3 linked regions of the Sus scrofa genome follow. The protein of the gene in region 1 binds, or shares a complex with, the protein of each later gene. Links are inferred from orthologs where the notes say so. Each region holds a gene or a part of one and is shown on either strand. Other genes may lie near its edges.

Region 1 (3,603 bases):
TACAAAATCAGCCCCCCATGAAAGACTAAGAGCCTGGCCCTCAAATGGGTTTCTCTGGGCAGAGATAGTCCACAAGTATCCCTGTCAGTTGCTGCCAAAGAGAAAGCACATCCTGTGTGGACCTGGGTGAGACTTGTGCTGGACCTCCCTAGACTCCCTGATGCCTTATCTTTTTCCAGCTGCTTTTGTTCTGTATTCTTCATTGTAACAAATTCCAGCTATGAATATAATGTGCTACTGAATCCTGCGAGTCCTCCTAGCAAAACCACCAAACTTGGGTGGTGTGGGAATACCCAAACAGGGGAATGTACATTTGGATGGGGGGATGGGGGTCAAGAGCTTCCCTAAAACATCCGCTATTGAGCTGTGGTGCAGGCTGGCAGCTGTAGCTCCGATTGGACCCCTAGCCTGGGAACCTACATATGCCGTAGTTGCGGATATAAAAAGACCAAAAAAAAAAAATCCACTATTAACTGGTGTATATGCCTGACTTTTTCCTATGCATAGCAATATTCTTAGTGTTACCAAAATAGTTACTATAATCACACACACCAGTTACTCAATTTATCTTGGACACCTTTCCATACCAGTGCATACAGATTTACCTCACTCGGTGTATGTGTTTATGAAATTTCAGAGTTCTCTCATTCGTGGTAAATGCTGCACAGTATTTCAAACATACCACAATTTGTTTAAATGACTTCCGATGAACTAACAATGGAGTTGCAAGGTTGAGCCTAATTTTTCAATCCTGCAAATAATGCTACTGTCAAATCCTAACGCACATGTGGGTGAGAAGTTGTGTAAGATAAAGTCCTAGAAGTTAAACCGCTGGGCCAAAAGCTATTAGGACAGAGTGTTAATAACATATCATTAGAGGCCTACTCCTTTAGACACCGATATTGGAATATACAGTATACCTACCACCCTTCTCACTGTCACAGTGGGAAGCATCAAACTGTGCATCATCATTCGGAATATGGACCCGAGCAACCACGAGATGATTCTGCTCATCAGATGTGTGAGTCCCCAGCACTAGCCAATGAAGGGCATAATCCTTTCCTTCCGGTCTGTTTAGGAAAGAAAATAAGTCATACTAATCCTACTAGAAATCAGTTGCTAACAAATTCAGTCCATCACCGATCCCTGAATTCATAAATCATGACCTCTCACCTAACCCCTCCCCCCCCCCTTTTTGGGCCGCATTGGCGGCATATGGAGGTTCCCAGGCTAGGGGTCCAATCGGAGCTACAGCTGCCAGCCTACACCACAGCCACAGCCACACCAGATCCAAGCCGAGTCTGCGATCTACACCACAGTTCGCCGCAACACCGGATCCTTAACCCACGGAGCGAGGCCAGGGATCGAACTACAACCTCATGGTGCCTAGTCGGATTTATTTCCACTGTGCCACCAACGGGAACTCCTCAAAAAGCCTTTAATTTTAATACTCTAGATGCTTCTGCTCTCTCAATAAGAGGCAACAAAGTAGAATGAAAGAATAAAGGGTTGAGTCAGAAACACTGGGTTTAAATCCTGGCTCAAACTAAAATTAGCTATATGCAATTCCTTAAATCACAGCTTCCTTACAAGCCTCAGTTTCTTCACCTAAAAAACAGGTTATGAGTGCAAACAGCATGATGTAAAAACCCCTTATTTATGTTTACGGTGCTTAAATGAGCATTCTCATTTTTACGGAAGAAGGGTCTTTGTTTCCCTACCCTTTATAAACTCACTTTGAGGCTGAAAAAGACACTGATGCCTCCTGACACCCTGGTCCAAGCAATGATTGTGCACCTGTATTTATTAACAATGCATTCCCATTCGTATTATCTAGAATAGCAATTTTCACCCGTGTTCCATGGTCCCAGCTCAGTGAGGGGGACTGAGAAGTAGGGCTCTGAGCCCCAACAAATAGCAGACGACTTAAGACTATTTATGTATAACTAAATTTCAGTAGTACAAAGGCTTCAGTGGTTTAGAAAAAAGGCTTAGGGATTTATCTCCAGGCATGTAACTTAGTAATAACTGAAAAAATACAAGACAAAATTTTACCAAGATTTGGCTTGAGGTAAAAAAAGAGCAATAAACACACAAAAACTCCAAGAACAGAATAAGGCATCCATGGCTTAGCAACAGCAGCTTATGTGAAAAAAAGACACGGGTCTGAAATAAAATACGTTCAGTGGGCAAAGATGATGTGGCTCTCGAAGAAAGTAATTAATTTCATCTTAGATAAACTTACACAGGGAGGGAGAGGCAATACGCATGAGCACTCACCCACCTATTCTGAACTGGAAAAACCACACTTAGAATATTAGGCTCTAGGCAATGTACTTTAGGACTCAGAATGAAATCTTTATAGGGAATAGTGGCTTCAAATCAAAGTGGACTTCAACACATCTCATATGAAAACCATTTGGAAAGAGATTAGGAATACTTGAAAGGCCCCACAATGTTATGGATGACATAAAAGGAAGAAAATGACTTGTTTTTTATGGCATTAAGCAGAAATACTAAAACCAACAGGTACAAGTTACATACAGGTAAACACACCCATTCACATAGGAGCTTTCTAAGGAATGGGAGTGCAAAGTCTGGAGCATCTTAATTAAAAACTCCCTTAGACTCTAAAATTCAGTTATTCCAGTTTCCCCTGACTCCATCATATAAGGATTTTTCCTTTTACTAAAAATCCTTTTTTTCATCTCCATAATTAAAATACAAATCTGTTTTCTTGAGTCAATCAATATCACACCATTTTCCTCCAAAACTGGATGCACCTAAGGCTGCAGAAGCACTAATGATAAAAGACCTTGTCCATTCCCAGGCCAGAATCCTTGGACCACTTTGAATTTTGCTACGAAATTCAACCAACAATCACAGATTATTACAAGGTTATTCTCAGCAGCACTGGCGGAAGCAGCAAAAGACTGAAAACAAATATCCATCAGCAAAGAAGTGGTGACAAAAACATACCCATAAATCAAATTCTATGGAGCCCTCAAAACAAGAGCCCATATCTAAGCATGTCAATATGAAAAAGTTTCCATTATGAACTCCTAATTAAAAAGTCAAGTGAACAACTTGCTACCAGAGAAAAAGACGGAAGGATGTCGCATGTCCTTCTTCACGCCGGGCAGGATGGATAAGAAAGCAAATAAGGACTGCTTCTGCTCTGGGTGAGGGAACGAGAGAGAGGACGTGGAAGAGGACCTTATTTTTTTCACTCTATGCAGTCTGTATCGGAACTTGCGTAATTACACAGCTTTTTAGGTAGAGAGTTCCGGCTCGACATGTTTAAGAAATTATTCAAGGGAGTTCTCTTGTGTCACAGCAGATTAAGGATCTGGCATTGTCACTGCAGTGGCTTGGGTGGCTGCTGTGGCACAGGTTTGAATCCTGGCCCAGGGAACTTCCACATGCTGTGGGTGCAGCCAAAAAAGAGAAAGAGAAAAAGGGGTGGGTGAGTGGGAGAGGGACAAACAGAGATGAAATAATGACCCGCCATTTAAATAATTTCTTAGAGGTACCAAAATAAAAAATATAAAAGAGTCAAATCAATTTTCTGGATTATCACCTAACTGAACTGAAGGACAACAG
Region 2 (4,065 bases), on another chromosome or scaffold:
TCAGTCATTCATACATATATACATACATACACACATATATATATATACTTACACACACTTCTCACATTATCTTCCATTATGTTCTATCACAAGCGATTGGATATAGTCCCCGGTGCCTAACAGCAGAATCACTGAACATTCTTGGCTGAACCAGCCTAAAGCTTATCACAAGGGGTGCTGAGAAGGGAGTGTCACCTGTACCTTCATTCCTAAAGGGATGGAGGGAAGGCATGGATGGTGTCCCTTTGCTTTCAGGCAAAAAGGTTGATGCCTTCCTCAGTAGATCCGGATGTATCTGAATGTCTGTGGCTAATCAAAAAAATTCGGCAAAGCATGGCGATTACAAAGGGCAGAAAAGGGTGGGCATCTCTTGTATTTTGACAAGATTTACTATTCAAGCAGAACTCCAAGAAATAATACCTTCAAAAGCTTCATCACCTAATGCAAAATACATTTGGTGATTGTGTTTCAGTCAGATCTGAGAAGTGGGCTGGGGTGGGGGTAGAGGAGAGTCAAAAATTGCAAAAAAATTCTCCAGGAGAGAAGAAACTTTGTCAAGTTTATTCTGTATCTTTAGCACCTGGAACAGTGCACCGCACACAGTAGGCGCTTCTTAAGTATCTGAATGTGTTAAGATGCAAAATTGTGTGAATGTTCGGGTGTATTTTCCAGGGGAGGAGGCTGCTGGCTTTTGTACAGTCTCAAAGGTGTCTAGGCCCCTAAAGGGTTAAAACCACTTAATACCGACAGGGACGTGAAATTTATTTGAAATCAATGTCAAAAATTGGTTGTTCTTACTCTGGGGTGTAGCCAGACCTTGGCGTCTGGAAAGATCTACGCGCTTAAAAATACCACTCGCCACCATTTTCTCCAGGTAATTTTCCATCCCTGCCCCCACAGTCCAGGGGGAAAAAAGTAATTCTGCAATCCTACCTAGCTATTAAAAAAATTAATCGGTAAAAGAACAAATCTTCAGGCGCCGCCTGCGTAGAAGAAGAAAGGGACCCACGCGGGCCTCGGGCGCCGCCGGGACCCCAGCCCCCCAAACTTTGCCAAGTTGCGGGCGCCGAGCGCGCCCGGAGGCGCGGGGCGCGGCAGCGGGCGGAGCCGCCCCCTGACGCCGGGCCGCGGCGCGCCGGGCCGCCCCCTCCCGGCCCGGGCCGGCCCCGCTGGCTCCGCTCAAAGTTTGCGGCCGCCCCTGCGCCCGCGCGCCCGCCCGATGTATGGGTGATATACTGCAGCGGGTGTCAGGGTGAGGGACGGCCATATTTGCCGGTGCGGCCCGAGCCGTCAACAACAAAAAGTGCGCGGGAGCTCGGCGGGCGCACGGACGGGCGCACGGACGCCGGGGCCGCCTCGCCGCCGTCCGGCCTCGCCGCCGCCGTCGCCCTCGCGGGCCTGGCCCCGCTGCGCCCCGGCGCGCCCCGCCGCTCGGGGGGATGTCTTACAAACCGAACTTGACCGCGCACATGCCCGCCGCCTCCCTCAACGCCGGTAAGTGAGTGCGCCCTGCGGGCCGCGTGCGCCGCGCCCCAAGTGCGGCCAAGTTGAGGGCCCGCGCGCCCGGCCCCGGCCCCGGCTCCCGGGGACCCGCGGCGGCCGGGGGTGGCAGGCACCGGGTCCCGGCCCGGGGCAGCGGGGCCGCCGCCGCCGCCGCCATGATTCTGGCGCCCACGCCGCCAAAGTTCGCTGGTGCGCCCTGTGCCGCGCCGGGCCTCGGGCCGGGCCGGGGCCCGGGGCGCTGGCTGCCGCCGCGGTCCCCCCCACGCCGGCGGCTGAGGGCTCGCGGGGAGCGCGGCGAGCGAGGGCGGGGGAGGCTTTCTCGGCTCCGTTTTCCTCCGGCTTTTGGGCGGCTCGGCGAGGGCCCCTGCCGGCGGGAGTCGGGAGCGGCCGGGCCGCGCGGGGAGCGGGGCTCCGGGAGCGGGGCGCGGGCCGCCCTTGGGGAGCGGGGGTCAAGCCCGGGCGGGGGCCGAGACTGCTGCGTGCACGTGAGCAAGGTTAGGCCACGCGCGGCAGCGCTGCGGGGTGGCGAGCGTGCCAAGTGCAGCCCGCCCTGAGGGCCCGGGGCCGCTGGGGTCACCGGCGGTGCAGGGGACATCATCGGTGGCGGCTCGGCCTGGCGCGTGGGAGCGGGGTGCCCAAAATGGGGCTCGCGGCAAGGTCCCCTCAGGCGTGTGCGGCAGAATGAGCGAAGTTGAAGACCCGGGGTTTCGGAGTGCCTGCAGGCGGAGGGTGGGGGCGGCATTTCGGCCTGGGGCCCGCATTTCGGGGCCCCGCATCTTGAGCCCCCAACTCTGGGTTTGGAAGGTCCCCTCCCGCAGAAGCCTAGGGGCCGTCCTCTCCCTTCCTTGGGGCTGGAACTGGACGGTCCCAGGAAACTCCTCCAGAAGTTGTCAGGCAGCTTTAGGCTGTGTCCAGGGTCTCCTCCCAAGGACGAAAGGCACCGGGGGGAGGGGAGGGTAAAATTGTGGGGTTCGGGGGTGATTTGCTCTTTCCCTTCACTATAGCCCTTCTCCTTTGGACTCTTGGTGGGAAACAAACTTCCAAAAAGCTAGGCGCGTGGGGGCGTGGGGGGGTGTGATTGGCGGGGAGGAGACTGGCGTCTCTGGTCCGAAATGCCACGCTGGCAGTTGTCCGAAAGTTTTGAGCCTTGTCTCCAAATGGTTGACTCCATAACTCCAAAAATCCTATAGGGGACCCAGAAAAGCAATGCATGTAAATAAATAAATATTTATTTATTTTTTAACTTCTTAGACACAGATTGGGGAGTGGAAAGGGTTAAGATTCAGGATGTGATTGGGTGGGGGATAGCTAAGTTGGTCAAATGTGGGCTCTAAGCCTCAAGAGCAAACAGCCACTATTTTCTCTTCAAATGTTCTCACCTCTTCTGGGGTCTGCAAACCTTATAAAGACAAGCTTTGCTGCCTGTAGTATTTCTCACTGCCTCCTTCATCTGACTGTGGTAAGGATGGAGGGTCTTGCTGCTGCCTGTACAGGTGGGATATCTCAGGCCTGCCCTGGTACAGCTGAGGCAGGGACCCTAAACTGGGACCTTTGGGGACTGGGGTCACGGTGGCAGAGGCAGCCACTCAGCACCCCTGAAGTCCTGTTCTGGGCTGGCTAGCACCTGTGCACAGATTTTCTTCTTTCTCCTCTGGTGAACTCCAGGAGGAGTGCTGAGGTCCCCAGATCTGTGGCAGGCTGCTCCCCTCCCTGTGGACCCCTTTGGAAAGCCCGATCTCCCCCTGCCATTTGCATCCAAGATGGACTCTCCGCTGCCGCTCCTCCGGCTTCCTTGTCATCATCCCTCACGCCCTCCAGCCCTGCCTCCTGCTCGCGAGTTGCCAAGCCGCGGCCTGGCCGGCAGTGGCAGTGGCTGAGTTAGACAAAGCCCCTGCCTCCCCGCCAGAGAGCCCCCCCAGGCGCCCCAAGTGGCGGGAAGGCCGCCAGCTCCCCAGGCCCAGGCTGCTCTTTGTCTGGCGTGGGGGTGGGGAGCCGCGCCTGGCCCCAGGAGCTGCTGGCCTCTGCCAATCCCTCCCTCAGCTCTGGGCCCTCCCTGGTCCCCCGCACACTGCGCACATTGTCTGCGATGCTCCGAGACGGCCGGCCAGCCGTGCTCACGCCCAGTCTGGTTTTCTCCGTGGCCTTCGGCAGCCGCTGGCCCTCCCTGTATCTGCGGGAAGGAGTGGGCATGAGTGGAACTCAGGGCCCTTCTGCAAACTCTCCCTAGGGCCACAGATACCCTCCCCGCCAACAGCAAGTGAGGCCACTGATTCGGGGTCCCTACCACATCACCCAGGGCAAGTCAAGCCCTGGGCTGTTTCCCATCTCCCCCTCCCTCCACACCCCTAACCAAAACGTGGGGGCTCTCCTTCCTCCCTCTTCCCAGAGCTCCCCTAAGACCTAACCCCAGCATTGCGGAGGAGTAGGAGCTAGAGCCTTTAGACATTCTGTTAGGAACCATTGCCTCAAACTGACGGATAAACTGAGGCCCAGAGAGGGAAGGGCCTTGCCTTAAGTCACACAGCTGAACTGGCTCCTAGTCCAGGCCCTTGCCTGTAGGAG
Region 3 (4,191 bases), on another chromosome or scaffold:
TTTATGTGAATGGCTCATCTGACCAGCTTGGTATTTGGTGGGTCTTACTCAAAATTTAACTGGAGGTAAGTGTTGCTAAGTGTCTGGAGAACATCTGGATTTTGGTGGGATTGGGTGGGGCTCAGTCCAGTTCCTGCATGTCTGAAAATGATGGATGAGGAAAGCTAGAGTCTGTCCTAGACATCAAGAGACTTTGTGCCAGGATACTGCTTTGGGCCATTAAGGGCTGAAGGTGTGTACAAGTTGGGGCGGGGACAGGGCAATGTGGATAGCCTGCTTCACCCTTGCTGGTGTGGGAGTTAGGGTTTTAGACTGACAGCCTCTGGAGATGGGGGAGGGATGAGTATAAATATTATGGGATGCCTGACTGGAAAGGTATAGGGGTGGTAGAGATGAGCATTATGGGACCTGACTCTGGGTTGTGTTGGGAGTATTATTGTATGTTTGCTTGACCACAGGTTCTTTGTCATTATTATGGGATGTCAGGGTGTGGGTGGGGGAGTAAAATTATGGGATATCTTTCCAGTGCTAGAGGAAAGGAGTTTGGATGTCCATCTGTGAGGTGACTGTAGGGCTGTTGATCATTATGGATATCTCTGATAGAGGAGGAGTGGTTATTATGGGCTGTGGAGTGGGAATGAACGTCTGAAGCCTTGGGGTCGAGTTTTGAGGTTCTAGCCCACAGGGGCTGAGGGCAGCTCCCCAGGGGGTTGGTTATTATGGGATGTCAGTACAGAAAGTGGGAGACTGATTACTACGGGATGTGTGTGGGAAGTGGGAAGAGGCCGAAGTGTCCGTTGTTGGGGGGGGGTGAGTTTCTGACTATTATGGGATATCAAACTGGGGGTGGATGAAGAGTGGTTATTATGGGATGTCTGTGGGGGATGGGGATGAGTATTATGGGATGTGAGCATGAAGAGCGGGTAGGGGTGCTTATTATGGGATGGCCATGGGGAGGGAGAGGTGACGAATTATTATGGGATGTTAGCATTAGGGCCAAGAGTGAAGAAGTTGGCAAAGGATGGCTATTATGGGATGTCTAGGGGAGGGGTAAAGTGTTAGTTGCAAAAGGTCTGCAATATCATGAGATGTCAACATCCCTGGCATATATGTATATGTGTATGGAGTGCGTGCGCGTGGGGGGGTGATGGTTGTGGTGGTGGTGGTGGTACGGTGGTGGTGGTGGTGGTGGTGTCCGTGTGTATTATGGGATGGCCAGGAGGTGGGTGGTTGCCCGGGTGACACGCGCGCGCGCGCTCGAAGGGGGCGTGGCCAGTGGTTGCTGAGCGACGAGGGGGCGGGGGTTGCCCGGGAGACCTAGGGAGGAGGGTGGCGGTAGTGGAGGGGGGGTTGGAGTTGGTTGAGGTTATTATGGGCTGTCCGTGGGGGGGCGGGGCCTGTGCGGTGGGATTTCCCGGCCGGTGTTTCGGGCCCTTTAAGAGGCGACGCTGGAGCCGGAGCCATTTTCCCCCCTTCGGCCGCGGCGAGGAGGAGCCGGAGCGGGAGTGACACCCGGCCGGACCCTGCGCGACCTGCGGCGGCTCCGGGGTGAGGAGAGCGCGGGGTTCCCAGACAGAAGCCCCTCTCATCCCGACCGGCCCCGAGGGTCATCCCTCCACCCAGCCTCTCTTCGGGCGTCCCCGGACCCGCAGACCGCCCCCTGCCCGGGAAGCCGACCCTGCCTCTCCTTCCCCTGCAGGGCGCCCAGCCCCCGCCCTCGCCCTGCCCGACTCTAGCTCTCCGCGACTCCCACCTCGGGCTTTGCCTCCCACAATGCCCGGCGCCCCCCTCGCCCTTTGCTCACTTGCCCCCCGGGACACGTGGCCCGGCCCCCCGCCTGGTGGGAGCCCCGGCCCCCCACGCCCCTGCCTCCAGCCCCCCGGAGCGCCGAGCCTCCACGCCCCCTCGTCCCCGCGGCTTCTCCGGAGAACCCGAGTTGTCCCAGAGGACAGCCTTTGGAGAGCTGCCCTGTCTGGGGACTGGCCCCTCCCCAGGCGCAGGGAGTCGCCCCCCCACCCCCAAGTGACCTTGTGTCCCCAAGCGCCTCGCCGCCGGCCGCCTCCCCCGATCCTCCCCCCACCCCCCCCGCGCCGCGGCCACTCGGACCCCCTCCCCCGACACGCCCGGCTCAGTTCAGCGGCTTCTCCCCTCCCTACGCCGGCACCGGCTTGCCCTCGGGGGCGCCGCTTCCTCCGGTCTGGGGGGCTCCAGCCCGGGAGCCGGCTTCCGGGCTGCCCCTGGGAGTGTGGAACTAAGTTCAGCCTGAGTGGTTCGGGTGCCCTGCTCGGGTGGCTGAGGGGTGGGGGGGCCGGGGGTGGGCGGAAAGCGCGGCGGGGTGGGGGAGGGGGCCGTGCGCGTCACTGACTGTTCTCTTTCTCTCCCCCCTCCCCCGCACAGTGACTCGGGCCAGTGTCGAGGGCCCCAGGCCGCAGGCAGGAGCAGCTGGGCCAATTCCCTGGCCGGGAGCGGAAGGGGATGGCGTCGGGCCTGGGCTCCCCGTCCCCCTGCTCAGCGGGCAGTGAGGAGGAGGATATGGATGCACTTTTGAACAACAGCCTGCCCCCACCCCACCCAGGTAACATCTTCCCCAAGGGCCCCGGGCAGGAAGGAGCCATCTGGGCCCTCCCTAGTGGCTCCGTGAGGCAGGGTTGAGTTTCTGGGCTTGCTCTGTGCAGTGAGAGGTGGAGGGCATCCGAAGGGAGTGGTTCTCTTCTGCGGAGCTCTTGTGCGAGGGGGTTGGAAGCCATGTGCCTCCCGGGCTGCGCGGACCGAGATGCAAGCTTGCTGCACTGCCTTCGGGAATTGCTCTGCAGTTCCCGGTTGAGGGAGCTCTCTGGGCTGGCAGGCTTTGTGGGTCCTTGGAGGAATGCAGGTGGCTGGGACCCCTGGAGGCTGTGCAGTGGGGAAGGGGCTGGGTTGAGGATCGCTTTTGGAGGAGACCAGCCGGGCATCTCTGCCGGTAGGATCCTGTGATTGCTGCTGTGGAAAAGAAAGAGGGAGTGCTGGTTACTCTCTGATTATTTTTAGCTTCTGATCAGTTACCGGCTTTCTGTGCTGTTTCAACTGTGTGAAGTTTGAATTGCGCTCCGAAGCTGGAATCTAGAGTGCTCTTAGCCAGGCAGATTGCTGGAATGTTTTGAGTGGGGCTAGGAGTGGGATGTAGTAGCCTGCAGGGTATACTCCAAGGGACAGAAAGAAGAGAGATGACACTCTGGGCACCTCTCTTCCTCGGGCAAGTGGACTTAATCCTGGCTTTTTTCTCTAGACGGTTCTGCCCTGTGCAGGTAGCCTGGGGTTTGGACTGGTGGTGTGAGGTGTTTGTGTAGGTGTGTTGGGGGTTGTGTTGTCTGTGTTTTGGGGTGGGTCCTTGCACTGGCCAAACCCGAATGGTTATGCATCCTGCCTGGTTGGAATGGCTCTTGTTTGTCCTCAAGTGATGATTGGTGTTATGTGTCTAAGTGAATGTCTCTCTTCTCTGTCTGTCTTCAGATCCCTTAGCTAAGTCACCTCCTTGTTTCCTTGACCTTTTTTTCGTAGCTTTGTTTTTTTCTACGTGCTGTTTCTTCATCTTTTCTGTTTGTGGTTTTATTTTAATTCTGGAGCTTGCTAGTCCTGTATTTGTTTCCCATCAAATGTTTTTCACTTTTGCCTTCTCTCTCCATAGTTCCAACTGCAAGTTGAGGTGGTCTGGGAGAGATGTTTCTACTTTGGCACTTTCTAAGTTGGAAGTCTTCGCTTCAATCCGAGGCCATTTAGGAGAGGGTCAGTCTTGTCATTGAGTCTTCAGCTGTGGGGATGAGAAACTTAGGCTTGAGTCTCATCACTGTGTAGGGCGAGGTGGCAGATTTCTGTGCTGTGGCCCAAGGTGGGGTGGAGAATGGCGGTAGTGGTGAGGTGGTTCCATCCTGGCTTTGAGGGGCATGAGGAGTAGCCGGGCCGTCCAGCCAGCGTTGGTTCCACATCTTGGTTTCCCATTGGCCCCTTGGTCTGGGGCTGCCCCTGTGTTGATTGGGAGCTGTGCAGGCTCCCACGGTGAACTCTGCCCCAAGCTGTAGCGTGACCCAGTTTTTCCACTTGCCACACCTCATTCCTGCCCCTTTCCCAAATCTTCCCCTGTATCTCAGCCAGTTTGTCGCTTGCCGTATCAGTACATCTGCCTGAGAAGTTTGAGGGTCTTATGTGGATGGAAGG

What was found.
Region 2: RBBP7 (region 1) and CDK2AP1 share a complex: the UniProt entries of both Homo sapiens proteins name them as parts of the nucleosome remodeling and deacetylase (NuRD) repressor complex. The link is inferred for Sus scrofa from reciprocal best matches to the Homo sapiens genes RBBP7 and CDK2AP1.
Region 3: RBBP7 (region 1) and CHD4 share a complex: the UniProt entries of both Homo sapiens proteins name them as parts of the nucleosome remodeling and deacetylase (NuRD) repressor complex. The link is inferred for Sus scrofa from reciprocal best matches to the Homo sapiens genes RBBP7 and CHD4.

Annotation. Positions count from the first base shown.
Region 1 is NC_010461.5:13,309,925-13,313,527, forward strand, and holds part of RBBP7 (histone-binding protein RBBP7), read right to left. Parts: intron 1,071-3,603; coding exon 925-1,070; intron 1-924. UniProt on the Homo sapiens protein: Core histone-binding subunit that may target chromatin remodeling factors, histone acetyltransferases and histone deacetylases to their histone substrates in a manner that is regulated by nucleosomal DNA.
Region 2 is NC_010456.5:29,629,900-29,633,964, forward strand, and holds the start of CDK2AP1 (cyclin-dependent kinase 2-associated protein 1), read left to right. Parts: upstream 1-1,184; 5' UTR 1,185-1,439; coding exon 1,440-1,494; intron 1,495-1,887; exon of another isoform or gene 1,888-1,997; intron 1,998-4,065. UniProt on the Homo sapiens protein: Inhibitor of cyclin-dependent kinase CDK2. Also acts as a component of the histone deacetylase NuRD complex which participates in the remodeling of chromatin.
Region 3 is NC_010447.5:64,070,317-64,074,507, forward strand, and holds the start of CHD4 (chromodomain-helicase-DNA-binding protein 4), read left to right. Parts: upstream 1-1,310; 5' UTR 1,311-1,548; intron 1,549-1,953; exon of another isoform or gene 1,954-2,255; intron 2,256-2,397; 5' UTR 2,398-2,475; coding exon 2,476-2,575; intron 2,576-4,191. UniProt on the Homo sapiens protein: ATP-dependent chromatin-remodeling factor that binds and distorts nucleosomal DNA. Acts as a component of the histone deacetylase NuRD complex which participates in the remodeling of chromatin.